Linked DNA regions of Coturnix japonica. The protein of the gene in region 4 binds, or shares a complex with, the protein of the main gene of each other region. Links are inferred from orthologs where the notes say so. Each region holds a gene or a part of one and is shown on either strand. Other genes may lie near its edges. The genes, in order: MED26, MED23, MED18, MED19, MED13L, MED13 and MED31.

Region 1 (4,504 bases), on a different chromosome or scaffold from region 4:
ATAAGGCCGCATTCACCCTCGGAGCTGCCTCGCGCTGCCAACGTGGGGGCTGGAGTGGGACGGGGCCGCTTCAACCGCAGCCGGCGGCGGATGGCGGCATTTCGGGCTCACGGAGCCGCGGCGCCGCGCTCCCCTCCCCCGCCCGCGCTCCTCCAGCCCCGCGGGTGACCCCGCCGCCGGGCGCACGCGCGCCGTGAGGCCGACTGCGCACGCGCGGCCGCCCCCCCTCCCGTCACGGAGCCCGCCGCGCACGCGCTCTGGGCGCCCGGCGGTGCGTGCGGAGGGACGTCAGGGGCGCGCCGTGCGTAACGGCGTCGGGCGTGTCCCATGGTGCCCTGCGCGGGGCTGGCTCCTGCCCACAGTTGAGTTCGGCCCCGAGCGGAGCAGTCGGGCCCGGCCCGGTCGCGCCGTCGCGGTTCTTCCGCGCCCCGCTCCGAGCGCCGCCGCCCCCCGCTCGGCGGGGAGCGAACATGCGACTCCGGCTCCCCGAGGAGGCCGCCGCCGCCGCCGGCGAGTGAGGAGCCGCCGCCCCGGCCCGGCCCGGCCCCGCCGCCCGCCCGCCCCGGCCGCAGCCGCCCCGCTTCGCCCAGGCAATGACAGCGGCTCCGGCCCCCTCCCCGCAGCAGATCAGGGACCGGCTGCTGCAGGCCATCGACCCGCAGAGCAACGTGAGTACGGCCCGCCGGGCCCGGGGCTCCCGACCGGCGGCGCGGGGACGCCGAGCTCCGGCCGCTCTCCGGCCCCGCCGCCGCCTCCCGCTGTGGGAACGAACGAACGCCGTGGGGCCGCGCGGCCGCCGCCGCCGCTTCTCCTCCTGCCGGGACCGCGGCGCGCCGCGCTCCTCCCCGGGCACCGGAAGCCTCCGCTGCGGGCGGTAGCGGCAGCTCCCGGCTCCGTGCTCGCCCACGGTCCCGTTCCCGGCGGCGCTTTTCCGCGCGCTCCCTCCGTGGAGCTCGGGGGTCTCTCCCCGTTTCCCCTCCGGCCGCGCTCTCCCTCCGCCCCGCGCCGTCTCCCGTCACTCCCGGCGCCGTCCGGCTGTGCCCGGCCATGCGGCGCGCGGCCCGGCGGCCTCCCCACGCCAGGCCGCGGCTCGGGTGCGGCCTGCAGGGGGCTCTGGGCCGGGCTGCGGACTCTCGCAGGGCGCCCACCTGTTCCGCGGCCCCTCCGCCGCCTCCCGCCGCAGACGCCGGGCCCGGGGCCGTCCCCGCGTTCTGGGGGCGCCCGGAGGGCTTCGAAGGTGGATCCGGGGCACTGGAGCGGCTCCGGCAGCGGGCAGCCTCGGTCTTCGCTTTTATCCTTCCCTGCAGAGCGCTAATGAGCTTATCTGCTCCTTCTGGGATGTAGAGTAAGCACGGGAGTCGACGTAGATTTTACCAGTAAGTGGTCTTCATGTGTAAGTCGTGGTAATCCAAAGTGTTATTTACTCCTTTTAAGGTTTTTTTTGGCATAGTAAAGCAGCTCTTCACATCCACGTTTACTACGGTGAGAGGACTGTGGGGTCTGCGGTCTGTCAGATTTATTCGATCTGAAATCCACATTTGCCATGGCAGTGCACAGAGCTGTGCTGCTCCCAGCTGTCTGTCGCAGGGCAGTCAGGGTGAGTCAGGCTGCAGCGTGCTGTGCTGTGCCAGGAGTGCACGAGATGGGCTCCGAGGTTCATTGGAGCTGTGCCTGCTTCTCTCTGAGCAAATCTCTCCCATAACAGACAGGTGTTGTGTTCTCCGAGTGGCTGATGAACTTACTGCTGTTTGGAAGCATCATGTAGCGCCATGCAAGTGATGTGAAAACTGAAAGATAAACCACTTTGTAATAGCCTGTTGTGATAAGCATTTGTCATGAGCTGCAGTATTACCAGCTTGAGTAACAGTAATGAATGATAAGGGTGATGGTGGGCTTTCAAGTCTCAGTTGTTGGAGTCTGTGGTCCTTTAACTTGGTAGATACGGAAACAATCTTTCCTGAGTTCTGTTTGCTCTGGGACTTGTGGCTGTGGGATTTTGGTTTTACCTTACACTCAGCATCAAGCTGGTTAAATACAGTTCTAATGGAGCAGTGGTTTCTTGTCACTTCAGACCTGCTGATGCTGGTTGCTCTGTTTCTGGGGTTACTTTCTAAAACGTTGTAGCTGTGTAGAGTTAAGAATTATGTTTTGTGATGAATGTGCTTCTTCCATGTGCGATGTCAGGTTGTGCTGTGGTGGTGGTATGGAGCAGGAGCTCTGCTGGGCAGGTCTGAGCATCAGGCAGCGCTCTGTGGGCCTGCAGCAGGTCAGTAGCCCCATAAGCTTAGAAGCAATGTATGTTAAATTATAATTCTACATACTTGATACTTATCCAGGGCAATAATTAGCGGTGGAAAAATCAGCCCATTGTTCAGAAATGCCTGTAGGCAGGGGGCTGTCTTCTATTTTAACCTCTTCTTCGAATGAGAACAGAAGTGGTGGAGTTGAGGTTCATCATACAGACTTGGACTTTTTTTTCCCAGCACATAGTAAGCAATAGATGGACAGGCAGAACTGCTGTGCTGTTTTAGTGAAAGGGAGAAAAATATGAGTTTTGAACGTTCTTAAAAGCAGATTGTGACTTAAATCTGACTTGATCTCCAATGTTGAAGTACAAGAGAGGCTGCTCTGTTGTCTCCCCACAGGAAGCAGTTGTGCAGCTCTGAGCTGCAGCACTTCTTGGTGCACAGGGAGAGTTGTGGCTCTTTTCTTCTGGCTTCTGGAGACTTTTCTTGAAAGAAGTGGTTGCATTCAAACTTAAAGCATTCATTATTGTGATTGACTTCCTTGTTTACTAAGAAAAAAGCTTTGAGGCCTGGATTTCTTTTGGACTTTTTGATGTGATTGTCGGTGCGGGTACGTGTGTGTCCCTGGAGAGGAGGGAGGGTGAAAACTGCACCAGATCTACCCAGCATGTGGCACAAGGATCAGTTTGGTGGGGCTGTGGAGGGGAGGTGGTTCTCATCACGCTTTGCTGTGGGGTGCTGTCAACTTCAGCTTTGCTGATATCTTCCCCAACACAACCCGCTTTCCCCTTGTGGATATTCAATCCAGTGGGACTGTGGAGGTCTTTGTGGTATGAGCAAATCTTGGATAAGTGTGAGGTCCTCTCAGAGAAGATCCTTCCTGTGGTGAGTTAAACAAGATGGCTCTTCCCCAGGTTGTTGGAACCCATGTGCTTTCAGAAGCTGTTCACTATTCTGATCATCTGTTTTAACCTCTGCTTGAAGCTCTGCTGACTTGGAGCGCTGCTTATATTGTACACACATTTAGCACTTGAGACCTCTTCTAGTATTTGCTGCAGAATGTTTTGATAACTTATTTTCACACACTTGGATCACTATTTATGTGATAAAGCTCTGTTTCAAAGGAGACCTGTAAGAAATAAGCTATTTAAAAAAAAAATTACATCATATTGGAAGCCACACGGGATGTCTGCTGTTACATCTCCATTTATTCAGCCTTTTCCCCTTGCAAAAACATATGGACAAACTACTTCTGCTCCATGACTTACACCCCATTTACCAGCATGGGGTCATTGGGAATGGACCCAGTCCTGTATTGGAGCAGGGAGTTGGGTGTTGTACCCCCAGCAGGGCAGTGTGATGTTCCTGCAGGGAAATCCTCCTCCTGGGAGGACTTTTTGGACAGCACAGCTGGGGAAGCGTCCGATGGGCTCTTGGAGCGGGCTTTTAGGGGAAAGGGCTCCCTGGTTCTGGTAGAAGCAGCACTTTTCTCTTTGGGCTCACTGTGCTGAGCAGAACCCCTCTGCTGGGTGAAGGCGCTCCAATGGGGCATCAGGAGTCTCATTGCCTGGTGGCAGGAATGGTGTGAGCTGTTCGCTTTTGCTCTGTGGGAAAGACTGTTAGAACTGTTCTCACAATTGCACAGGGTCCTCATCCCAAATATGTAGCAGCCTTTGTGTTTTGAATATTAGACAATAATTTAATTATTTACCATTAATAGCACTTGAAGGTGTGAGCCCAGCTCTGGTTTGAGGTCACCACCCCTCAGATGCTCACTGTATGGGTTGGGCTGCCTGCAGTCCAGGCTGCCGTGCACACTGAGCTCCATGGCTTTGCTGCTCGGCCTCTGGGAGATGTCTGCAGGCCAGAACATTAATGATGAATCCGTCTATGTGCTGTGCTATGTTACCTAGTGTTGGGTGATCTTCCAGTCTCATGGTTAGTGATGTTTCCACAGCTGTTTTCTGGGTTGGTTGGTTTACCAAAGTTCAGGCATAAAAGTGAGATCTGCTTTCACAGTATCACAGAATGACCCAGGTTGGAAGGGACCTCAAGGATCATGAAGCTCCATCCCCCCTGCCTGGCAGGGCCACCAGGCTTCCACATTTACTAGATAAGGTTGCCCAGGGCCCCATCCAGCCTGGCCTTGAACACCTCCAGGGACGGGGCTTCCTAGAGCTGATGTTAAAAGGAAGGGGAGCTTGTTCCAGGAGACAGCGCCAGACACAGCTCTAATAATATCAGTGCTGGGGCTGAAG
Region 2 (4,584 bases), on a different chromosome or scaffold from region 4:
TTTCCCACTGAAGTCATACTTCTCTACAGTCAATTCTTTTTTAATAAATGTGAATTAGCAAAGAATAGAATAAAATAGAATTGCTTTATATTGTTCTTCAGAGCTACAATCAAATTCACTGAAAATGAAGATGAGTGTATTTCAGAAAGAATGCCTACAGGTATCTAACCTTTAGAAGGTAAATTTTGAACTTCTTTTTTCTACTTACTCACTTCTACCAAAAACCCTGTAACATTTTGAATGACTGGAAAAAGACCTTATACATGAAGGATTTGTCCTTTACTCAAAGTTTTACTATACCCCGATCTTCCCCTCCACCGCCCCCCAAAAGTATATAAAGTATACTGAAGAAGCAAATGAAATGTTAACCTGGGAAAGACTGCTCCAGAACTGCCTAAAAGCACCCAGGCAGCTGATCAGTTTGGTTCTCTCATCTTCAGGAGTGTCCATAAACATACTAATTCAAATAAGAAAGTTGGTTATTAGCACTACAGCAAAGGAAGAGCACAAATAGAAATATACACAGAAAGTCACGAAAGTAAACTAACATTTACACTCACCCAGGAAAAGCTTCTTCTATTACCTCAGTTTTCTGCAAGAGAAAAACCTAAAGTGAGTTACTGTGAATCACAGAATCACAAGGTTGGAAAGGACCTACGAGATCATCTAGTCCAACTGTCCTCCCATTGCCCTTGCTACCACAAGCCACTAAACCATATCTCATAGCTCCTCTGTATGACTGAAAAGGCTCTCTATGACTGTCTCACTACCAGGATGCAACAACACTGAAGAAAAACAATCCTACTGTTTCAGGACTGAATCAGAAGCAGGTGCGTTTCTTCTGTTACGCTCAGGTCTCAACATTGAGGCTGCTTGCTTTGAGGATCCAGGTTAAGGCTCCTCTGTTCCCCTCCCTATAAACACCCAGAGATTATTTTATGTCCCAAGGTTGGAAAAATTGTTCAGTTCTGCAACTTGAGCTCTTCTTTCACACTTAGAGATTAAGTTTCTACAGCATTATCCTAATGCATAGGCAAAATTCCTGAAAATAGTACCCTACAGATTGTTTTGCTTTCTATAGAAATTTCATACTACACTCAGATGTGATCGGTAACCACTATGTGTTTCCATCATTACATGGAAGAAATAAACAGTGTTTGAAAAATAAAGAAATTATGGTGATCCTTTCAAATTGCAAGGCCTGGAAACACCTCAAGAGAACATGATATTCATCCACTGTGCACGGAAACTTAAGTTTCACTGCTGTCCATTCAGTCAGTAATAGAAGCAGTGAATGTGACAACTTGATATTTTCTCAGCTGCAAATGCAAGGAAAGCTTAAGACTTTGTTGTCCCTTAACAACTGCAGGCAAAAAAAATACTGCTAAAAAAAAAGAAAGGCAGTGACCACACAGTCAAATCATGGTGTTAAACATGCAAAAACAGAACACAGAATCACAGAATTCTCAGGGTTGGAAAAGACCTAAAAGATCATCCAGTCCAACCATCACCAATACTTCCCAGTTAAATCATATCACTCAACACAACATCCAAACGTTTCTTGAACACTCCCATGGTCGGTGACTCCACCAACTCCCTGGGCAGTGCATTCCAATGCCTGACTACCCTTTCCGAGAAGTAATACTTCCTAATGTCCAGCCTGAATCTCCCCCTGCCGCAGCTTGGAACCATTGCCTCTAGTTCTATCACTGTCTACATGAGAGAAAAGGCTGACCCCAAGCTCACTACAACCTCCCTTCAGGAAGTTATAGAGAGCAATAAGGTCTCCCCTGAGCCTCCTCTTCTCCAGGCTGAACAATCCCAGCTCTCTCAGCCGCTCCTCATAAAGCCTGTGTGACAATAACATGTCAAGAACAAAATGACAATGTCAAGAACAAAACAAACAAATCATCAAGTATGGACAAAAAGCATTCCATAAGCTTAACATCACTTAAAGAAAAGCATATATTGCATTTGCATTTTATAATTCACACACAGAAAGAAAAACTCAGTGTTCCAACCATTTTCACATCAGCTGGGGAGGGACTTTTTACAAAGGCAGACAGCAACAGGACAAGGGGAGAAAACTGGAGGTGAGTAGATTTAGAATAGATATTAGGAATAAATTCCTTACTGTGAGAATGGTAACACTGGAACAGGTTGCCCTGTGAGGCTGTTGATGCCCCCTCCCTGAAAGCTTTCAATGCCAGGCTGGATGGGGCTTTGAGCAACCTAGTCTAGAGAGAGGTGTTCCTGTCTTCAGCAGGAACTGGCTGGAAGCAGATGATCTTAAAGGTCCCTTCCAGCCCAAACCATTCACTCTGTGATTTTCAGTTGCATTGCTCTAGGAGACATACGCATCCCTTCCAGACCAGATACTGCTGGTTCCACCTGACATCAATCAAGCTCCTGTTCTGAACATCCTCATCAAATATCATCCCAGTATTTCTAGCCACAACACTCACTAATATCCACGAGCTACCTAAATCTACTAAGAAACTGCCAACAGAGTTGCCTTGCTAATTAACTCATAGTTCTGCTTATCTTTTCCTTCTTCTAAGCTCATCTTCTTCCCCTTCCACTATGCAGATGGATTCTTTCTCCTTGCAAGCTGCCCCTAATTCAGCACCAGCCTCAAACGCCTTACAGAACCGCTCAGAGAAGGAATTTTTGCTCTGAGGAATCGTTTCCGCACCGCACTCCGCGGTCCCACCGCACACAGCCGAGGATGAGGGCAGCCTTCCCAGCGCCGGCCTCTCCCCGCACCACGCAGCCATGGCGATACCCCAACCCCTTCTCCCTTTCTTTACCTCCTCCGCCGCTCGCCCCCAACCGCGGGCCTCAGGAAGCAGCTCCCCTAGAGCACAGGGCCCACTGCGGGATGCCGGCTGAGCAGCCTAGAAAGGCCGCGGCCCGGCCGGGACACACTCACCACCACCTCTTCGAAGATGCTCTGCAGCTGCGTTTCCATAGGCACCATAGCCCCGGCCGGGCCTCACCGGGCCCTCCGTTAGATGGACACGGAGCGGCAGGACTCCCTTCCCGACGGAAGTTCCCTCCCCCCGGCTGTCACGGAGTTCCGGCGGAGCGGGGTGAGCGCAGCGCCTGCGCGTACAGCAGTGCGTGTATGTGTTGGGTGCTGGTATGGAGGGTCAGCACTGCATCCCTGTGCCGAGGCTGCTGTTAGTTCTATCAGTCGAACGACGGATGCCCCATCCTTGGAGGTGTTCAAGACCAGGTTGGACGGGGCCCTGGGCAACCTGATCTAGTAAAGGTGTATGTTTGGTGGCCCTGCCAGGCAGGGGGGTTGGAACTACGTGATCCTTGAGGTCCCTTCCAACCCGGGTCATTCTGTGATTCTGCGTGATTCTGTAACGTGTAGGAGCAGCTCTTGCTCACAGTGGGCAGATTGGCTGGTCTATTTACTAAATGGTAGCACTGAAGAGAATTACCTACCGCAATTTTTTGTCAAACTCAAAATCCATTCCCATCATAGGATGGGAAATGGAGGCCTGAAGAGGTTGTCAAGTGCATTTTATAGCGTGAGGACCCTATCTGTTAGCTCACAGGATAACAGCAGTTTTCAGCCATGTCTTCAGCATGCCCTAAGATGTACCAAGCCCATTTTTATCATTAAAATTGGGTTACAAGGTAGTTTTGAACTCCATAAGACGTCCCAACAGTGACTGAGATCATGAATTAACTCTCATTGTATTGGGTTTGTGTGCCAAGGCAGTAGGAACTGCAGAGATGGCCTCTGTGAGCAGGGACCAGCACTGCCTCGCATCAGATGAGAACCAGCTCCAGCTGCTCCAACAGAGACCTGATGCTGGGCAGAACTCAGCCACAAGCAACACTGTGTGTCCCATTGGGAAAACGAACTAAAGAAAAGAGAAAGCATCTGTACTGGGCAATGTGAGTGAGAAATGTGAGAGAAACAGCCCAGCAGCCCCCTGCGTTGGTGCAGGAGGACAGGAGCTGGTGCAAGCTGTAATGATATCATTAAGCTTGGTAAGTCTCTTGATGGATAACCCTGTCATTTGTTTAGACAACAGGAAGAGTCTGTGTTTTTGTACCAAACAGATAGAGTTCTGTTAAGTCTTTGTACTAAGTAGATAAGGAAGTTCTGCTTGGAATCCATTGTGAAAGCAAGTATTGAATATGTATATGCCTCTGGGAAAACCTCTGGGTATGTAACACAAGTAATGTAAATGAACTGAATATCTTTTGTGCAAGGTATGCACAAAATGGTGGTGGAGCTCAACACCCATGCATCCAGACTTGATTATAATAAAGAATGGTAGCTTTCTATCATTCCAATTTAAGTTATAGAGAGTTTCATGATAGACCAGTTTATGGTATCCAAGGTTGCTCCAGGCTGGAAGGAGTCCTGAAGGAAGCATAGCCCAAAGGGAACTCCACAGGAACAGGGCTTGTGTTGAAGCAGCCCTTGGTGGGACAGGAGGGCTGTGATTGAGGCAGTGCTTGAGGAACAGCAGTCTGTGGGAAACCCACATGGGGTTAGCTGAGGAAGGATTACATCCTGTGGAAGGGATCCCATGTTGGAGCAGAGGCAGAGTGACC
Region 3 (4,136 bases), on a different chromosome or scaffold from region 4:
AATAGCTTTATTGATCCTAATGATAAGTTTTAAAAATTACAAAAAGTTGGCTCTTCTATGTTACAATCACAAATTTAAAACCGGTATTTAAAGTTGAAAAGTATTAAAAATTATGAAGAAAAAAAAAAACCCTGTTTTGTTGTTCTTTCTAGTGTTTAAGGAGACTTATTTCAGTATCTTCTGCCGTACCCAGCCCTTGGGTTGTGTCTGAAGCTGTATGCCGCTTCATACACATACACTACAGTGTATGTAAAGCACTTAGCAGAAAGCAGCTTGACTGTGTTACCGAGGTTGCTGAAGTGAAAGCTGGAATATCCACATAAGCTGTTGATGTGTGAAACGTCTCACCCTGCACTCGCATATCAGAAGCATGTTAGACAATATAGAGTGCTTCCAAAGTTGTACTTCAGCTTCTGTGTTCATTTGTACAGAAATAACAACATTAGGGGAGAGTGTGTGGGGAGAATGGAGACCCAGGGCTGAGGAGTGCTGGAGATACAGCAACATTCGTGCTGTTAAAGCATGACAGCGACTGACAGCAATTGGTGTGTTTTAGTAAAAGGCAGCGTGGTTGTACGTTTCCATAATGATCTTGAGAAATGAAGACTACTTCATGTTTGCCCAAAATACTGGCTTGTATTGAGTGAAAAAGAATTGCAAAGAAAATACAAAATTAATGCAAATAGCTGACGGGTATTTTTGAAGATATATTTTTAATAAAACATACAAAGAGCACAAAAACACAGAAATAGTGGGATGCCTGACCTTGCTTTTGTGAAACTAATGCATCGTGCTGGGCTGATGGAAGTGGCTGTAAGCAGGAAGGAGCCTCTCTGTGCAGCCTGCTCCACGTCACCCCCAAATGAAGCAGTAATTCCTCACTTTGAGATGGACCTTCCTGTGTCCCAACACTGGGCAACAACAGTCAAAGCCTGGCCCCATCCACCTGACTCTCTACAGGCACATTCGGGGGCACTGGGCTCAACTTTCTGAGCCAACATATTGGCTGTGAAGGGTCTTAATTCTGTTTCTTCCCCCCAGGTTATAATTGCAGACCCAGAGCTTCCTGTTCTACACTAACAACAAAGCTGCTTCCAATAACAAACAGCTCCCAGTCTGGATTTGCTAGGAGGGAATCTTTCAGGTCTTTCAAATCTAAAACTAAGCAATTCCTGCAACTACTCCTTTCAGACATCAGGGACCGACTATCCAATGAATAATGCACTAAACAGACTTTTATTCTCTTCCATCTCTGGGAATTACATACATTCTGCTCTTATGCATATATGTAACCTGCATAACCAAATACCAAATGCTGGCTGAGCATCAAACAAAAACAAAACCAATACATCAAAGCCTTTTACCCCTTGCTCCCCAACAACATAAAGTCAATATCTCTATTTATAAGTGTTGCACCTTAATACTGCTTACTGCTCCAGCACAGAGAGGAAGCAGTGGAGCCCTGAACAAAAGTTCTGTGTGCATAGGACTCCAACCAGTCCCTGCACTCACTTCTGGCTACAGCAATGCTATGATAGTCAAGCCAGTTTTCATCACATTAACCTCTTAGGGTCAATTTTTTCCAGGTGTACTAAAGGCTTCAGCTGCTCTGCAAAGTTCCTCATATCATCAGAAACCATATCCTGTCCGGCTGGTGCCACAACATTAAGCTCTACAAGGTAGGAGAGGGAAAGCGGCTCGATGCTGTCCGTGTTACCAGGCATCAAGATACGGAAGATCTTATACACCACAATCTTCATGATCCCCTTTCGGAACACGTGTCCCTTAGCCACGAACTCGTGATCCATACGGAACCCCATCTCCACCAGGAAATCCGTCAGGTTGTCCGAGGTGGCGATGTCCACACAATTTCGCACTAAAGCGTGTCGGTTTTTATCTCCGATCTCCGGCTGCCCCAGGTACCTCAGGTGCCATGGCATGCCGCTTTTATCCATGGATCGCCGGGCACGCAGCACGAAGGGGCTGGCCTGCTGCCCCTTGAGCAGGAACACCATCTCGTGGTCCAGGAAGGTCTCCGGCTCCATGTTGTCGCACAGCCCACGCAGGCGGTGCAGCAGGCTCTCCAGGCTCTGGTCCAGGACGCTCCCTGTGGTGGACACACACGGCTCAGACGATGGCCCCTTCCCCGCCGCAGCGCGGGGCCGAGGCAGGCGGCGAAGGGGCCTCCGCGGGGAGGTACCTCCCCTTCGCCGCCCGCCTCGGCCCCACGCTGCGGCCGAGCCCCGTGTACAGCCCCTGTGTGCCGGCCATACCTTGCAGCAGGTACTCCATCATGTTAATAGTGCCGCCCGTAACGGGCATCATGGTGACGGGAGGCGCCTCCATCTTGGCGGCTGTGGTAAAGATGGCGGCGGGAAGAAAGGCAAGGCCTGAAGGAGGAGGCGGGCGCCACAGTGCGGCCTGGCGGTGAGGAGCAGCCGAACATCGACCAGCTCCCTTTCCTCCTCACAGACATCCAGTTATTCATCCCCAAGCACACAGCACTGCCCCTTAAAGGCAGATGTAAAGAAGGCATCGAGGAACTCAGCCTTCTCCTCCTCAGAGAATCCCAGCCTTCTCCTCAGTGATCACGTTCCCCGCTGCATCAAGTAAAGGTTGGGCATTTTCCTTGGTTCTCCTCTTACTTTGATGTACTTGTAAAGGGATTTTTTTAATGTAACGGCTTCTGCAATACCAGGTGAGAAGTGCTGGTATCACAGACCCACTTCAGTCTTTAATACTGCACTGTATGCTGGACAGTTTTCCTTAACCTTTTGTTTGCTAGGTTATTTCACTGCATCATGAGGTAATCTGAAAGTATCACAATTAAGCCAGTAAATCTAGGATTATTTTACTCAAACTGAAAAAGAAGTTCTGTACCAAAATGTACACGACTTAGTCATAATACAAAATGTTAATTCTACAGCCAGTTAAATCCATCATAATGAACGTTGAGCCACTGTTTATTGTCAGTACAGCGTTACTTTAAATAAGCTCACTGAGTGAACACAGAAATAAAGTAGATCTTCCTCAAATAAAGTGACAGCTATTAACAATACTCCAGGAAGATGTGCATCCATGGTATTTGCATGCTGTCGTAGCATATCTAGCATGTAGTACGTCTTCATGCTTGCACAGCAGCTTTGTGAGCTCATTACAATAATGTTGATTTGGTGATGCACTACAAGACAACCCATATGACTTACATTGAAGCTGAATTTTAAAGAGCACCTCTGCTAGACACCCGTTTAAAAGCTCCACCACATTCCTGTAGCGAACACATCTAGGCCAAACCACTGATCTGCCACCACCTCTGCCCCCTAAGAAGATCATCAAGCACATGAACAGTTCTCCTCCCATGATCAGCTGGACAGGGTGATGCTGACAGCAACCTTCCAGAAGGTGAATCAAACCAGAACACGCCTGTGTTTTCTATATTACATTAAGAACACCTGAGACTGCTTCACTGGTCCAAGTACAGAATTTTAATACAAAATCTGTTGCATTAACATGACATTTCACTGAATTCCCTTAATTAGTACATTCCATTAAAAAAAAAAAATCTTAAAATAAATATTCCCCCTCAAAAAAGTTTAAAAGGAATTAAAGCAAAAAATAAAATAAAACAAAAAACAAAACAACCCCAACCCTGTAGTATTACAGAACAGTGTGATTTTCTGACTTCATTTATCTCAGTGTAAGCAGTAGATTCACACCTCTTCCTGGGGAATAAGTGTCAAACACCGAGAACAAAAGATAGTTTGTAATATGCCAACACACCGTGCCTTGAGAGACTTCTTTTAAAAGAAATGTAAACATCTGTTACTGATTCTTGTTTGAATGCAGCACTCCTATCCAAAACGTACAGGAAACCGCGTCTGTTTGAATTAACAAGCTGTCTGACAAGAAATCAGTATTAAAATCGTTGGGTTTTTTTTTTTGAACCTGAACTAAATGACAGAACAGTTAAGACACTGTTGTTTTTTCCTACTTCAGCACAAACTATAGATCAACAGTTCAGCACTCTGCAGGTCACAAGTTCTTCTTTAAGTAATAGTCTAAATTGTGAAGATAAACACTAAATGTTGCTTAGCTGCAGAAAATTAAGTACTATAAGTAGACAGGGGTTTCTATGG
Region 4 (3,743 bases):
TTTTTTTTTAATGGGTGATCAGGTTTTTTTTGGCTGTCACGTGGTTATTTTTATCTCCATGTGGGGAAGAGGCACATCCCTGTCGAGCAATATTTTCTCATCACATGCCAAAAAACGCAGCCAAGGAGCCCAGTGCTGCCCCGCCACCCCCAGCCCCATTGGGGAGCCCACCCCGCACCGGGCCCACGCAACTTCACGCACTACTTGACTCTTTCTCTATGGCAATATCTCTCCTGTGGCCTCCGCAGAGCCATGCCATTGGTTTTTTGTTTTTTTTTTTATTATTATGATTAGCCATTTTAAAAACGAGGAATAAAAGGATATTTAATGAGTCACCTCAGCGGGCATGCGTGTGCTTTGTGCGGTGTCCAGGGATGGAGGAGTCCGTGAAGGATCCTGTCCTTCACTTCTCAGCTTTCCCTCCCTCGTCTGGAGTGGAAAGGAAGGGGACAAGGAGAGCCGGGCCCAGCCTTACAGGGCTGCCAGTGCCTGCGCCCTCACAGCTGGGATGTGCTTCCTTAGGGCACTTTGGGGCACAGCGCTCTCAGTGCAGGTAAGTGGAGCTGTCAGGGTTGGAACATGTCCCAGGACTCAGTGAGGCTCTGGCTCTTCTGTAGGAGCCCCCACAGGGGCAGCCCTGGGGGACATGGTGCTGAACTGGGGTCACTTGTGTCCTCCTGAGCCTTCTCTCACAGCCCAGAGAGCTGCAAGGCCTGGAGTATGATGGGACAGGCACAAGGCCTCTGCTCCTTGCCCTGCCCCGCTGGCCAACAGTCAGAGCCGCCACTGGCACCAGCTCTTCCTCAGAGCAGACTTTAATTAAAAGGTGAATAAAAAAGTGAGATCCCAATGCACCACGTTGCTTAGGTGTGGTAGGAGCCCCCATTCCAGCAGCGTCCGCGTCACCAGGTCCCCATCAGCCACACAGTGCAAGCAGGGGGGTTGCAAGGCCACGTTCTCTGCAAGCGGGGACCATGAGTGCCCACACCTCCCCGCTGTGCTCTGTGATGGGACGAGTCCACAGCTGGGGCAGGGAGCTCCATAGAGCAGCACAGCGCAGCCTCACCGCAAGCTGCTGCTGCTGCTGGCCTGCGAGCTGCCCACCCCGGGGTGCTCGGGGCTGTGTCGGTTCTGCAGAAGAAGGACAGGCGTGAGGCCTTGTGAAACCCAGTGCCAAGCCCTGCTGGAGGCCTAACGTGTGGTGCTGCCGCGGCCTGGCACGGGGCTGGTGCAGGCAGAGCAGAGCAGCACGCTGCCTCCTAACCTACCTTCTTTTTCTTTTTCTCCTTCTTCTTCCTTTTGCGCTCCGGATCCTCCTCTTTCTTCTTCTTCTTTTTCTTGTGGTCTGAGTCCGAGGGGGTTTCTGCAGGAAGCAGAGGAGGGGTGAGCGGGGCACAGAGTTACCAGGACACATGGGGTGCAGAGTTAGCAGGGCACGGTCCTACCTGGGGGCACAGGGTCCTGCGTGCGGCTCTGCTTGTGCTTGTGCTTGTTCTTCTTCTTGGGCGGCTGGATGTGCATGAGGCGGCACTGCTCCGGCAGCTGCAGGGGCTCATGTCAGCGGACCCCCTCCTTACCCCCATCCCCCCTTCCTCCCCCGGGTGCTCACCGGGCCGGCGTGCAGTCGGAACCCGGTCAGCATGGTGCCGGTGAGCGGCGTGAAGGAGCTGCCGCAGATGGGCGGCTTCTCGATGAGGGAGCGCAGGCTGCTGTTGTCGTGTGAGCCGGGCAGGTCGATCATGCCGGGCAGGTCGGGCAGGAAGTTGCTGAGCTTCTCCTTCACCTTCTTGCCGCAGAACTTGTTGTACGCGTGCTCCAGGCTGTAGTGTGTGATCAGGTTGCTGCTGCCCGTCAGCTCCGTGCCGCCTGCGGACGGACCGGCACCCTCAGCGCCCCGCCCCTCGCCGGACCGCCCGCGCCCATTGGCCCGACGAGCCGTCACTCCGCGCGTCCCGCCCGCTCATTGGCCCCGCGCCCCCCCCCCCTCCCCCGCGGCCCGGCCCGCACCCGGCAGCTCCCGCAGCAGGTAGAAGGGGCCGGTGGCGGCCTTGCGCGCCGCGTCGTCTCCCGGCGGCGGCACGGCGGCTGCTGGAGGCGGAGCGGCCCCCGCTCCCGGCCCCTTGTTGGGCCCGAAGCCCAGCGCGGCGGCGGCGGCGGCGGGAGGCGGCTCGGCCCCGCCGAACAGCGCCGAGAAGTTCTCCATCTTCCCGCCCTGCCCCGCGCGGGGCCGCCCCGCCCCTCGCGGACGTACGTGCAGCTCCGGCCAATGGGAGCGCGGCGGGCGGCCGGAGGACAAGATGGCGGTGCTGGCCCCGCTGCTGGCGCTGCTGTACTCGGTGCCGGGGCTGTGCCGCTGGCTGGCCCGGCCCTACTACCCGCTGTCCGCGCTGCTCGCCACCGCATTCCTGCTCGTCCGCAAGGTCCCGCCGCTGTGCCGCGGGCTGCCCTCACAGCGGGAGGACGGCAACCCCTGCGACTTCGACTGGGTGAGCGGCAGCACCGGGCCGGCCTGTGCCGTGGCCTACTCGGGTATCACCGGCGCTGGGTGCAGCCGAGGCGGCCCCTCTGTGCGCAGCCCCGGCTCCTGATCGAGGGCAGGCGGAGGATGAAGGCTGGAGCGGCCTGGAATGGCTGCTTGGCCTTGTGGTTGTGCTGCAGGGCTGCTCGGTTGTGCCCGAGGTGCTGGCTGTGGCTGTGGCTGTGGCTGTGGCTGTGGCTGTCACGGTGCTCACTGCGTTTCTCTCCTGTGCAGCGGGAGGTGGAGATCCTCATGTTCCTCAGCGCCATCGTCATGATGAAGAACCGGCGCTCCAGTGAGTTGGGGCAGTGCTGGGTTGAGTATAAGCTGCTGATGGGGTGTCTCTGTACTGGAAACAGTTGAGGGATGAGAGTGAAAAGAGACGTGGCCCCATCTCTGATTTCTTCCCTCCTTCCCAGTCACTGTGGAGCAGCACATTGGGAACATCTTCATGTTCAGCAAAGTGGCCAACGCCATCCTCTTCTTCCGTCTTGACATCCGCATGGGCCTGCTCTACCTCACGCTCTGCATCGGTGAGACACGTGGGGAAGTGGGGGGGGATCCGTAATGCAGGGGCTGTAACAGTGCTCCTGTCAGGCCTTGTCTCTGCCCATCCTGTGCATTGCCTTCCTCAAATGGGGCTGGAGCCATCTTGCCTTGTGCTGCTGCTGTCTTTGTAGCCATACAGGCTGCTCTGGGGAAGGAGGAGCCTCCCTCAGACTAAGCCTGTGTCTCTTGGGCATTCCAGAAGTGGAAAAAAGGGGGCAGAGGCCTCGCTCCAGGTGGGCGCTGGGCTCAGGGATGCTGTTATTGCAGTGTTCCTGATGACCTGCAAGCCACCCCTTTACATGGGACCTGAGTATATCAAGTACTTCAACGATAAGACCATAGATGTGAGTATCTCCTACCCAGTGTGAGTTGGCGTGGGGTGCCGGGCTCCCTGCCTACCATCCCCTGTTGACTCGCGTGGCAGGAGGAGCTGGAACGAGACAAGCGGGTGACCTGGATCGTCGAGTTCTTCGCCAACTGGTCCAGTGAGTGCCAGTCCTTTGCCCCCATCTTCGCTGACCTCTCTCTCAAGTGAGTGCTGCCTGCTTTTGAGGCCTTGCTGAGTCGGTCCCAGCCCAGTGCTCACTCAGAGCTGTGTTCTGTCTCCCAGGTACAACTGCTCGGGGCTGCACTTTGGGAAGGTGGATGTTGGCCGATACACGGATGTCAGCACCAG
Region 5 (3,885 bases), on a different chromosome or scaffold from region 4:
TTATGTTCTAATCTGAGTTTGTTGCACCTCATTCTTTCCTTGTGCACCTCCAAAAGCATCACCTTTTTATTCAAGAGGATGCAAATTCAGATCTAGAATACTGCATAGTATCATCTACTTGAGTTAAGTAGTAGTTCATATTTCCTATTGATATTCTCTGTGTGGTAGCAATGTACACATTTGTGCACTGGTGTGTTTGACCTCATATGCTGTCCCATAAAAGTTTTTTTTCAGTGCCCAACAGGTGACATGGAGGCAAATAGTCTTCTACTAATCTTCTGCACTGGGACAGATAACAGTGCTGTGTTGATTCAGGAAGTGTCTCATTTATACTACATCTCCTAAGATAGAGGGTATCAGGAGAGAACTTCTACCTCCTTTGATAACTCAGTTTGATTTGGTGACTAAAAATAATTATTTACACAGGCCAGCTCAGACTTTCAGCTAAAACAAATCATCTTTGGGAGGCAAACCAAGGCACTCTCTTTGTAAGGCACAAATTATTCCTCTTCATTGCTTTGCAGAGTAGGATAGAAAAGTGAAGAAGTAACCCTCAAAGCTCTGTTCTTTTGTTGTGATCATAGGATCTGTGGTATATGTAATATGTAATTTTGTTTATTAAAAAACACGTGTAGGATATAATAGAGGTGTAAACTGTTGATAAGCATAAAAAAAGGTCCCTCTGAAATTTCATTCCTGAGTCCCCATAAGTCAAGAGATGAAATGCAAAAAGTGAGAAGGCATTACCTCAAGACATCTGATGTAGTTTTAGAGTCAAGGGGGTGAGGAACTCGCTGAGAACTTCTGGCAGGTAGTAGTTCATCTGTCTGTGCTATGGAGATGTGATGATGCAACGAGGCCTGTGAAAGTAAAATCAAACGAAACAAAAAAGAACCATTTAACTCTTTGCATAGCAAGTATGAAGATTCACAGTGAACAAATACGCCCTGAATTGTCTCAGGACAGCTGGCAGTTCTCTGTGGAACCCACCAGGACCAAGTGCATTTTGAAGTTCCATAACGATTACACTTTTGAATAAAATGACTGCTTTTTCTGATTGGAATTAAGGACCTTTAAAAAGCATCCTGAATTCCACTCTTAATTTCAGTCAGGGAAGAAGTGATGAGGGAAAACACTTGGAGTATGTCAGTGTTTCTTTTTGCATTTCAGCAATATAGGATTTTAATTCTTCAAACTCTCCCATTTAGTAGACCCACCACGGAGAACCAGACCCACCACGGACTGAGATATCCAACCAGAACACAGCACAGCCTTCCTCTTGCTCTCTGCTACCGTGCCTTCTGAATAGCAATCAGTCTTTGTTTCTGGAGTGAGGTTTGTGCCTTGGTTTACACAGGAACAGAAAAGCGATTTCATATTGATCATGTGCCAGGGGTAGAGGCAACCATGTAAGCCTTTCAAGTGGGTAACTCAATAGACCACATGGCCTGCTGGGGCAAGACCTTGAGTTTGTGCTCTGCCAGTTGCAGCATGCACCTCAGAGGTGGAATGCTTCAGCTCAAAAAGACTTAATCCAAATCAGACAGAGATGACTTAAATCTTTACGTCTCACGTGTTGTGCAGGTTTCCTAACTGCAGCGCCATGCAGCACAAAGGAGACAGCACCAGCTGCTCTCTGAGCACTTACAAGTTACTGCACGAATTCAGCCCCTTGCTTTTATTAAAAATTGTCCAAACCGTAACAGTACATTCCAAGTCAAATTAAACATTTAATTCAGCTTGGATCTGAGAAAGCAATTGCGTTGGGTTAAGGGGGAAGGGTGGTGGCTCCTTCTCTCCAGTATAAATCTAGCATAGGCTTACAGAAGGAATTCATGGAGTTGCCTAGAGCTCTGCTGTGTTTTTAAAGCTGGAACTGAAACACAGCTTTTGTATTATTACTCATTCACAAAGAAAGGTAGTTTTAAGTTTAGGATAAAACTTCATCTCTAGGTCCAAAAATACAGTGCCTTATTTTTCACATTAGTTTGAGATCTCTATTCCACAGGTTTGGAGTGAAGCACATAATTCTGGGAAGCCTCTATGAAAACGTGGGGAACTTGGTAGGTGATCTCATTTAACTGAGTACTGCAGTACTTTGCCAACAGATGCTGAAATGAACATAAAGCCTGCCACACCAACTGCAACAATCATTCTCAAATTATCAGTCCTAAAATGGCTTTCTGGCATAAGAATTGAGAAATATTATACACCTTTACTCTGATGACTGCCTGATATACATGTTTGAGAGAATTTAGCTAAGAGACTTCACGAAATGCTTTGTATGTGTCAATTAAGCTGAGAATGGATAAATAAAATGTTACTATCTTAATTACTTTCTATTTTGCTTGCTCGAGTATCCACATGACTCTATCCAAGGCAGATTTTTCACCTTTTTTCCACGCTCACTAGCTGACAACATCCCAGTAAAAAACAGCATGTCACTCTACAGTGGTGAATGAATCTGTAGTATTTGATCCAGTTCAGCTATTGCAAGCAATATACCAGTACCTCTTGCAAGAAACAGCAGTCTTCTGCATTGGCAAATACCAGATAAACTCTGATACTACAGACAACGCCATGCAACTTTTTACATCTACAGGAATAGGAACACATAGCAAAAGCTCTGTGTGGGAGTGCTGCTCTCTAACCTTTTCATCTCTGTATTATGATATGATATGGCAGAATAGGAGGTAATGCGTCTCCTGTCGTGGGCTAACTGAAATTTAGGAAATTAAAATTGGGGAAGACTGGATACAGCATTGATGATTTTGTATTTAGAAGCTGCCAAACTATTCAATTTTCAGGTAATAGAGAGTAAATGCTAATAGCCAGCTGTCTTCAGTGAATTTATATCTGGAAATGTATTTCTTCATTATTTCCAACTGTCAGAAGAAGCAACACAAAGCTGTCATTTTCAAAGGAATTGTGTAGGATCTAAATACAATTCTTCCCCCCTTTCCACTGAGAAAGATCAGCAAGACAGACCTTCAGGAAGAGAGGACACTGGTTTTGTGCCTGAGGACAGGATGACCAGAACCACTGCGGAAGATTCTCAGCTTTGGCAGTCGACACGAAGTATCCGAGAGCAAGAGGCTGCTGCTTCAATTCTTCAGGGGCTTCTCTGGAAAGGAGACGTTCCCCTTGGCTCTGAAATAAGAATTGAAGGCACATTTGTCACTTTACGTCATTACATCTCCCTCCAATAACTTATGTTTTGCTTACTAATCAGTCTTGGATACAGTTCTGTCTTGCTATTAATGAGCTATCCTCCAGTCATCTGTGAATCTTTGTGCTTTCCTTTTTCCCTTACGCTTGGGCAACCAAACGGCAAGTTAAGATCCTACGCTGTGTTGAGCTTATGGGGAGGTGGCTGCTACAGGGTCTCTTAGAGGTAATGGACTCTGGCTATGAATCTGAACAGCTTCTGGTGGGCACACAGAGGAGAGCAGTACTGACTGTGGCGATACAGCCTCACCAAGTTTACATAGCCTGACAGAATTTTCCCATTCCTGGGAATACCAGTTTGAACTGACAAACATCCTGAAGGGAATGTTTGGGGAAGGATGTGTTATGCACCCAAGTATATAAGATACCCTTGGGTGCATATCCTTGATATAAGAATAACCTGGACAGAAGAAACTATGTTTTATATTTATACTACCAAGCAGATGAAGTATAGGAAAAAAAGAAACAGATGTCCCGCTTTCCTATTTGTATCATTTATTTATATACTGTATTTTGTAGTATTAGTTACTCATGTTCTTGCATAGTGACAAAACAGTTACTAAGAGACAGGAGTTAAGCAACTTTAAAAGGCTTTACTAGCAATTTCGTCAAACTTTGGGCTGCAGCCTGTCAGGATATACATCTGTGACTGTATTT
Region 6 (2,791 bases), on a different chromosome or scaffold from region 4:
TCAACGACTCCAAGACAGCAGGTGATAAGTACCCCCTCTCACAAGTCAAACCAATATTTGCTGGAAGTAACAAGATTCATACCCCATCACAAACAACTCGCACTGAGAAGAATCATAACTTAGTCCTGCAGTGAAATATCCTTTTTCCTCATTTTTGTCTTGCAAAATTCAGGTGAAGATCACAGCATATTCATGATAAAGTTATACAACTGATTCAGCACCACAAAATGAATCGGGAGACATGACCGTCTGTCCTGGGTTGCAGGATCACAGGTTAGCCAGGAGAGTGCATTGTACTGTTCCAGAACAAACCTGAAAAGCAAACAAGCTTCCATCAAGCCAACAGATTTTCCTCAGCAGCATTTTACAGCACCGGCTTAACGTAACATGGTTGCTGTGGTATTCAGCACATAAAACAGGTCTGCCAATGTTTTGCAGTAACACAACTATAGAATCGTTGCGAGCAGATTAAAGCTGAACTTCAGTAGAAAATACTGTAGTATTTTAAGCAATAATCTAATCAAATCTAATCAATAATTAACCCAATCCTAGTTGACAATGATAATTAATGCTAAGAGATTCACATACTAATGTGAACATATATATGAATGTGAACATATATATGTGAATACTAACACAACCATGACGCTGCTTTCTCATTAACAAGTGTCTTATGTGTACACAACTACCTGCATGCCCTTGGACTTCAGTATTCCCACAGCTTACATGAGATTCTGGCTCAAGTCTAACCACCCTCCTCCCATTTATGCACTATTTTTTAATGAATTTCACGTTTTTTTCAAATATTTTTAGTTGTAATCAATCTTAATTAGTTAAATCAGAGTTCAGATATTTGTATTAAACCGCAGCGTCTTGTGGTGAGGAAGTCTTTTCATCCCTCAGTGCACAGCAATGTGTTTTGTTTGCTATGTATGAAGGGCAGTGACACAATGAGAAAACTAATGGCAAGGAAAACAAACCTCCAGATCCCCTGCAGTAGTATTAAAAAAAGAAATGCACAGCTGTTTTTGCAAGCAATAGATCATAAATACCTGAGCACATCAGAAGTTTGATTAGAATCAAGTGGATGGGAGTGTTTACTGTGGAGTAGCTCGTCTGATTGCACTGAAGGCACGTGGAGGTGCAAAGAGGCCTGAGGAAGGAGGAGAGATGTGAGCAGTCAGCGTCTGATTCAACTGCAACTTCCTTCCCCTTGTTCCGCTGACCCAAATATCGCAGCCACTTCACTTAGTTCTCTAACACATGAGTTAAATAAAGCTTATCCTTATGCAGCTCATAAGTGCAGGAATCCTTTCTCCTAAAAGCACAATGCTAACAGTGCAATACACCTAAGGAAACTGTTTTAAAACTACTTCTGTGCCTACATTAAATGATGATTAAAAAAGGAGGCAAACTCCAGTGACAAGATTTCTAATAATAAACAGGCTTTAAAGTTCACTGCTGTCCCCATAAGGTCAGACTATTACATACTGAAGGTGCTCAGGGTAAATAAATCCTCTGTTCAATAAAAATGCCAGTGCAGCCCCACTGGAGGTACGGTACCTTAAGAAACAAGGGACACTGATTTTGTGCTTGAGGACACGCTGACCAGAACCAGTCAGGCAAGGGACCTGCTTTGGCAGTTGACACAAAATAACCAAGGGCCAGTGGCTGTTGCAGTATATTTGTTACTTCATCGTGAGATTCCGTTGAAAGCAATCGATCTGTACCTTGACCCTATAAAAAAATTAACAGGCAATGGTTTACTATTAGGAGACCACAAAGATACAAGAAATTACCCACAGCTTTAAAATTACAAAGCGTTTTTGAAGGATCCGAGCATTACATGGATTTTACAGTGGCAATCCAATATCTGATTAATTCAAAATAGTTCATAGGAACCTTTCATTCCAGAAAGGAAATAACCAGATGTCAGAGAGCAAACAACCACACACACATATACACGAACACATACACACCCCTCTATATTTACTCTATCAGTTACCTTGCCCATATCACCTCCATGGGGGTAGTGGGACCCTGGAGAATGTACAGGGGATCCAGTAGGGGATGCAGGAAGTATATTTATAATATCGGGATCAAGATCGTCTCCAGTGTCTAACAAGTCAAAGATGCCCATTCCATCTGCTCCATCTTGAAAAAGAACAACAACACGTGATTTCAGAATGTGCTGTTCCCATAAGTAGGGAAGCAGTAGAAATTAAGTGATTTGCCATATAAATGCTGTGGTTTAGTAGAATAAAGTCTTATTCCTGCTACAGGGGGAGCAATGAAGGGTTTCGGGTTGGTTTGTTTTTGAAACAGGAATAAATCCAATCTGCTCACCATTGTTTGTGTTGAAGGCCAGATCCAGGTTCTCAGTGGTATAAGTTGACGATGCCACTTGCACAGAAGCAGATGTGGGAAACACAAGTATGTGAGTGCACGATGTGTCCTGTGGGGTGTTCAGCTGAGATGTCTGCATGTTTAAAGTGGTGCTGCGTCCGAACACAGAGCCGGTAGATACAGAATCTTTGGAAGAAAAACATTTCCTTAGTTTTGTACAAAACAAACAATTAATTCCCCTGCCAAAATAGCGTTTCTCACATACCTGGCATAATAATGAAGGACCCCTGCGGTTCCATTGCTACCAAACAAGCACTGAGAATGCTGGGAGAGTCTGCAGCAGAGATACCACACATTCTGCACATGTCTTTCAGCCTCTTACTGAGGGACTGAAGGTTTCGGCGACTCAACAAACAACTCCAGTCTGAGGATACAAAGGACATAG
Region 7 (4,341 bases), on a different chromosome or scaffold from region 4:
GCAAACACTGAGGATACCTGGATTTAAAAAAAACACAATTTACAAGGTGCACTAGAACTGGAGTCTCCAGTATCTCTCCATTATTTTAGTCATTTAGTGCCTTACTCAAGTACCTGAAACAGTGAGCGCTGTACCTTTTCCATACACTGTAACTTAATACCTTCAGTAACTACAAGGCTAGAAAACAGGGAATCCAATAACAATATAAATACATACACGGAGCTGATTAAAATAACTTTTATAAATACTAGATTTCATTAAAACAAAAACTAATTAATTAAATAGCTCTTTCCAGAGCTCATTTGAAGTAAACAAAAAAAATTTCAATAACTGAGTTTAAACATTAATTAAAAAAATGAAAAAAAACGATTCTTTGTGTAGCTATCAACAGGGCAAAAATCACTCTCAGAATGTTCTTAATGGGCTGAAGTAGTTTTGTCCCGTGATGTTCAGTAATCTTGCTTTATGCAGATAGAAGGTGCAGATAAAGGTTGCAAATGGAAAATTCCATGCATATGTCAAGAATGAAACGTTCTTTAATTGTGCCTATCCCAGACTACAGGAAACAGGAAAATTTATACTGCATATAAACACAGTGCATGTTTTGGCTGCAGGGAGAAATCAAATATGCACATGCTACTTTACAGTGCATAAGAGAAGGTAAAAATCATTAAAATGCAGAAACCTGAGGGCTTTTAATACTTACTTCAAGTATTTTGCATATTCAGGTTCTTTCCAATACAGTAAATATTTAAGATAGTTTACAAAAGCTTTGTCTTTGAAGTATCCTCTTTGTGCAAGAACTGAAATAAGAGACAAGGAATTTTTTACAACTCAATAAAAAAAAAACACAAAGGGAAAAATATATCTTAAGTCAACACTCTAATACAAGTTAAGCATAGTGAGTTAGCATATAACTTTTATACAGCAACAAGGATGCGATGTCTTCAAAAATAGGAACTTCTGACATCAAAACTGTCAGGGAAAACCAAAGAAATTAAGAATTCCACCTGAAACTATTATAAGCATTAGTGAAATGTTGGTTTCAGATATGAGTACTTCTAAGATTGAAATGTAATTATTATTATTTATTTTCTACTACAGATGTGCACTTATTCTCCACCAGACAGTTGTGTTTTATTTCAAGAAATAATCATTTCACATTTTAAAGGTGTCATCTCCTCCCTCTTCTACCTCACCTTTGAAATTCGGACAAATTAAATTATCCTCAGACTACTTTTTTCCTTAAAGATCTCTTCCCTTTTCTTTGTTTACCCTTCGCCTCTGCACACACACACACACACACACACACACACACAGTTTACCATTACACGTAATCATTAAACTGTTAAATAACATTAACTTCTCAGGATCCCTGACATTAAGTACTCACAGTTGAGGTAATTGGGATTTGCTAGGCACTGAACAAACTCCAACTCCAACTGGAACCTAAGTCGATTTCCTGTATCATCTGAATACAAGAGAAAAAAAAAAAACAGTAAAAACTGGACTTACATGGCAGATTTAAAAGTAAGTTTCTCAACTTGAGCCACAAAAATAGAAACGTTTAGAGAGGAGATAAAGCACCAAGAGCCCACAAGTATGGGCTCATCTAGCAGTCTTTTCTATTACATGAATAAGTGTTGGGCCCATGTTAATACATGTACTATTGTTTGTTTGTTTTTTTAACAACTAAAAACGATGCAAATAATGGAGAAATGCTCTCTGACACTTTATGTAGAATATATGAAAAGGGAAGGGAAAGGGGCCTGCTTTTAGTGCAAGGAAAATATAAGAAGGCAAGAAAAGAACACTACCAGCAGCTCACTGAAAGCCTCCTTGCACATAATTTAAGAAATGCTTACCGTGAGGCTGCTTTTTGTTTTGTTTGTTTTGTACAGAGATGTCTCAGTTTAGTGAGAATCCTGCAGTGTTCTCACACTATTGGTGTACAGTAGGCACTGATGACAGACCCAGGGGTCAGCACAAGATTCTGCTGTCCTATGACAAAAGGGTGAGGGAGCTGGGCTTGCTCAGCCTGGAGAAGGCTCAGGGAGATCTCACTCTGGTCTTTCAGCGTGGAAAGGGAGCTTATAGAAAAATATGTTGACTTTCCACCCTGACTGAAAACAACAGAACAAGAAGGAACAGCTTTAAACTCAAACAATAGGAAACTCAGGTTAGATGTTAGGAAGAAATTCTTCTCCGAGGGGCGGTGAGGCCCCGGCACGGGCCGCCCCTCTCTGTGGGGGCCCCATCCCTGGAGCTGCACAAGGGAAGGCTGGAAGGGGCACCGCGCAGGCCGCTCTGGCGGGAGGTCCGATCTGTAAATAAAGTCCCCTCCATCCAAACACTCGGGGTCTATAAAAGATTCAGCTCCTCGACCACAGATGCAACGTGGGATGTCCGCTGCCATGGCGTCCGGGCAGGTAAGAGCCGCGGTGTCTCCATGAACGTCGCGAAGGGCCCCAACGGGGCCAACGGCCTGAGAAGGGCCAAGCCGGGAGGGCAGCGCAGCAGGACCGCCCCGGGCCCCTCCCGAGGAAAACGATTCGGAGCCTGTCGGCCCATCGCTCCCGAACCGCCCGAACTCTGCACGGCAGGACCACCGACGCTCTCCGTGGCCCGGAGTCGCTCGCCCTGCCCGAACCGCACCGCACCGCGCCGCTCACCTGCGTCCATGGCGGCGTGCTGGGCTCCGCTCCCCGCCCGGCCTCAAAATGGCGGCGGGAGCGCCCGCTGTCGGCAGGCGGGAGTTAGGCGGGAGGCGCAACGAGGCAAGATGGGAAGGTCTGTGGTGGTGAGGAGCTGCGTTAATGATGCGAGTTGTGTAGAAAATGACCTTTTGAAATAAACTAAAGTTGGAGCAACTTTTTTTCCCCTTGTCTTGAAAGAGAGCTGTTACCAGACAGGCAGTACGATTGGAAGGTACCTGTAGGAGCAATGTTCTGGGATGGATTTTTTCCTAGGCATGTGTGTGCTTTTCTTTCTTCCCTTTCCCCTTTTCCTTTTTCCCTTTTCCCTTTCCCTTTTTCCCTTTTCCCCTTTCCCGTTCCCTTTCCCCTTTCCCCCTGGCAGCTCATGCTGAGCTGATCTCACACAACCTCTGCAGTTTATTTATTAAGAAGTTATGTCGTAGTGAAACCAGTTAAACAGATGCGCCAGGGGTGCAGAACAGCACTATGCTATTGCACCTGGAGAAGAGTTCAGCACTTAGGTTGCAGATTTATTCCTAATGCTGCATTCATGTCTGGGGTCACACACTGGATGTTCATATCTTGGTTAAAACAAAGACTGGTGGGGTTTAGCACTGTCAAGCTACCTGAGTTCCATTGCTGCTATGATTGCATTATTAGGCACTTGTGTAACAGTTTGCACTATACAGGCTCAACACGAATCCTAATTCTTTTTTAAAATTTGTGATTTGTTAAACTATTTTCAGTGTCTCAGCATTTTCCTGTAGTGCTATCTCTTTCTATGTAGTGTAACTGTTCCCCTCCAGCCCCAATAGAAATTAGGCTATAAGACCACCTAAAAAAAGACTTCTGCATTGCTTTCCTTAATAAAATAATTTTGTGTTTTGTTTCTTTTTTCCCCAAGGTTTTAGTGGTTGTGGAGTACTACCATTACTATAACAGAATTAGCAGGTCACTCCCCAGTAAATACAGACTTTTGTCTAAAAGCAGAGATCAAACATATCCCACGCATTGGCAGTGCTATTCTGGAACACGATGTATCTCCCAAGACTGACTTCAGAGGAGAGAATCCTAAGAAAGGCTTGGTCACATGAATTAAATTACTACGTAGGTTTGCCAGAGTAAAGTGCAAGAACGCAATTCTTGGCCATCAAAACTAGGAACAAAATTGAAAGTTGGAGTCATATTACAAAAACTAAGAACATTCTCTAGGAAAAGCTGGATTTATTTATGCTTTTAAATATTAGCTTAGTCAGACTTTCAGGGAAGAGGTATTAAGCTGTGTGTTTGAGCCAAGAATTTTCCTTTTTATCATCATCAAATCATAACATCACTGCCTCAGTTTCACTTTTTATAGGAGCTGAACTGCTAACCCTATTCTCTGTTTGAGCACTGGTGCTGAACCCTTGTTTTCCTAATGCATTTTGAGAGCATGCTCATAGTAGATCTAGATATAAAACAGCCACTAGCTAACAAACAGATCAGATAAGGTTTTCTACCCAAAGCAAATAAAGCTATTCAGAGTTTAAAATTACACTCCAAAAAGGGACACTTTGCTGCAGTAGTAATTCTAGACAATAAAATCAATGTGAGATGTCCCTATAAATTATATATTTAGGAATGATATATTTATACACAGAAAGTA

What was found.
Region 1: MED19 (region 4) and MED26 share a complex: the UniProt entries of both Homo sapiens proteins name them as parts of the mediator complex. The link is inferred for Coturnix japonica from reciprocal best matches to the Homo sapiens genes MED19 and MED26.
Region 2: MED19 (region 4) and MED23 share a complex: the UniProt entries of both Homo sapiens proteins name them as parts of the mediator complex. The link is inferred for Coturnix japonica from reciprocal best matches to the Homo sapiens genes MED19 and MED23.
Region 3: MED19 (region 4) and MED18 share a complex: the UniProt entries of both Homo sapiens proteins name them as parts of the mediator complex. The link is inferred for Coturnix japonica from reciprocal best matches to the Homo sapiens genes MED19 and MED18.
Region 5: MED19 (region 4) and MED13L share a complex: the UniProt entries of both Homo sapiens proteins name them as parts of the mediator complex. The link is inferred for Coturnix japonica from reciprocal best matches to the Homo sapiens genes MED19 and MED13L.
Region 6: MED19 (region 4) and MED13 share a complex: the UniProt entries of both Homo sapiens proteins name them as parts of the mediator complex. The link is inferred for Coturnix japonica from reciprocal best matches to the Homo sapiens genes MED19 and MED13.
Region 7: MED19 (region 4) and MED31 share a complex: the UniProt entries of both Homo sapiens proteins name them as parts of the mediator complex. The link is inferred for Coturnix japonica from reciprocal best matches to the Homo sapiens genes MED19 and MED31.

What each region holds. Positions count from the first base shown.
Region 1 is NC_029543.1:3,344,994-3,349,497, forward strand, and holds the start of MED26 (mediator of RNA polymerase II transcription subunit 26), read left to right. Parts: upstream 1-1,414; 5' UTR 1,415-2,143; coding exon 2,144-2,266; intron 2,267-4,344; exon of another isoform or gene 4,345-4,504. UniProt on the Homo sapiens protein: Component of the Mediator complex, a coactivator involved in the regulated transcription of nearly all RNA polymerase II-dependent genes.
Region 2 is NC_029518.1:51,917,573-51,922,156, reverse strand, and holds the start of MED23 (mediator of RNA polymerase II transcription subunit 23), read right to left. Parts: upstream 3,078-4,584; 5' UTR 2,981-3,077; coding exon 2,933-2,980; intron 593-2,932; coding exon 561-592; intron 458-560; coding exon 370-457; intron 1-369. UniProt on the Homo sapiens protein: Required for transcriptional activation subsequent to the assembly of the pre-initiation complex. Component of the Mediator complex, a coactivator involved in the regulated transcription of nearly all RNA polymerase II-dependent genes.
Region 3 is NC_029547.1:21,930,269-21,934,404, forward strand, and holds MED18 (mediator of RNA polymerase II transcription subunit 18), read right to left. Parts: upstream 2,460-4,136; 5' UTR 2,347-2,459; coding exon 2,274-2,346; intron 2,108-2,273; coding exon 1,554-2,107; 3' UTR 695-1,553; downstream 1-694. UniProt on the Homo sapiens protein: Component of the Mediator complex, a coactivator involved in the regulated transcription of nearly all RNA polymerase II-dependent genes.
Region 4 is NC_029520.1:7,805,272-7,809,014, forward strand, and holds MED19 (mediator of RNA polymerase II transcription subunit 19), read right to left. Parts: upstream 2,227-3,743; 5' UTR 2,204-2,226; coding exon 2,008-2,203; intron 1,867-2,007; coding exon 1,610-1,866; intron 1,543-1,609; coding exon 1,446-1,542; intron 1,364-1,445; coding exon 1,269-1,363; intron 1,132-1,268; coding exon 1,063-1,131; 3' UTR 798-1,062; downstream 1-797. Other genes in the region: TMX2 (thioredoxin-related transmembrane protein 2), read left to right, coding at 2,298-2,486, 2,753-2,813, 2,938-3,051, 3,335-3,411, 3,492-3,598, 3,678-3,743. UniProt on the Homo sapiens protein: Component of the Mediator complex, a coactivator involved in the regulated transcription of nearly all RNA polymerase II-dependent genes.
Region 5 is NC_029530.1:10,495,366-10,499,250, reverse strand, and holds part of MED13L (mediator of RNA polymerase II transcription subunit 13-like), read right to left. Parts: intron 3,151-3,885; coding exon 2,989-3,150; intron 861-2,988; coding exon 748-860; intron 1-747. UniProt on the Homo sapiens protein: Component of the Mediator complex, a coactivator involved in the regulated transcription of nearly all RNA polymerase II-dependent genes.
Region 6 is NC_029534.1:6,214,854-6,217,644, reverse strand, and holds part of MED13 (mediator of RNA polymerase II transcription subunit 13), read right to left. Parts: intron 2,771-2,791; coding exon 2,612-2,770; intron 2,533-2,611; coding exon 2,347-2,532; intron 2,155-2,346; coding exon 2,006-2,154; intron 1,738-2,005; coding exon 1,564-1,737; intron 1,154-1,563; coding exon 1,053-1,153; intron 313-1,052; coding exon 180-312; 3' UTR 1-179. UniProt on the Homo sapiens protein: Component of the Mediator complex, a coactivator involved in the regulated transcription of nearly all RNA polymerase II-dependent genes.
Region 7 is NC_029534.1:8,576,294-8,580,634, reverse strand, and holds the start of MED31 (mediator of RNA polymerase II transcription subunit 31), read right to left. Parts: upstream 2,844-4,341; 5' UTR 2,683-2,843; coding exon 2,673-2,682; intron 1,472-2,672; coding exon 1,394-1,471; intron 804-1,393; coding exon 707-803; intron 18-706; coding exon 1-17. UniProt on the Homo sapiens protein: Component of the Mediator complex, a coactivator involved in the regulated transcription of nearly all RNA polymerase II-dependent genes.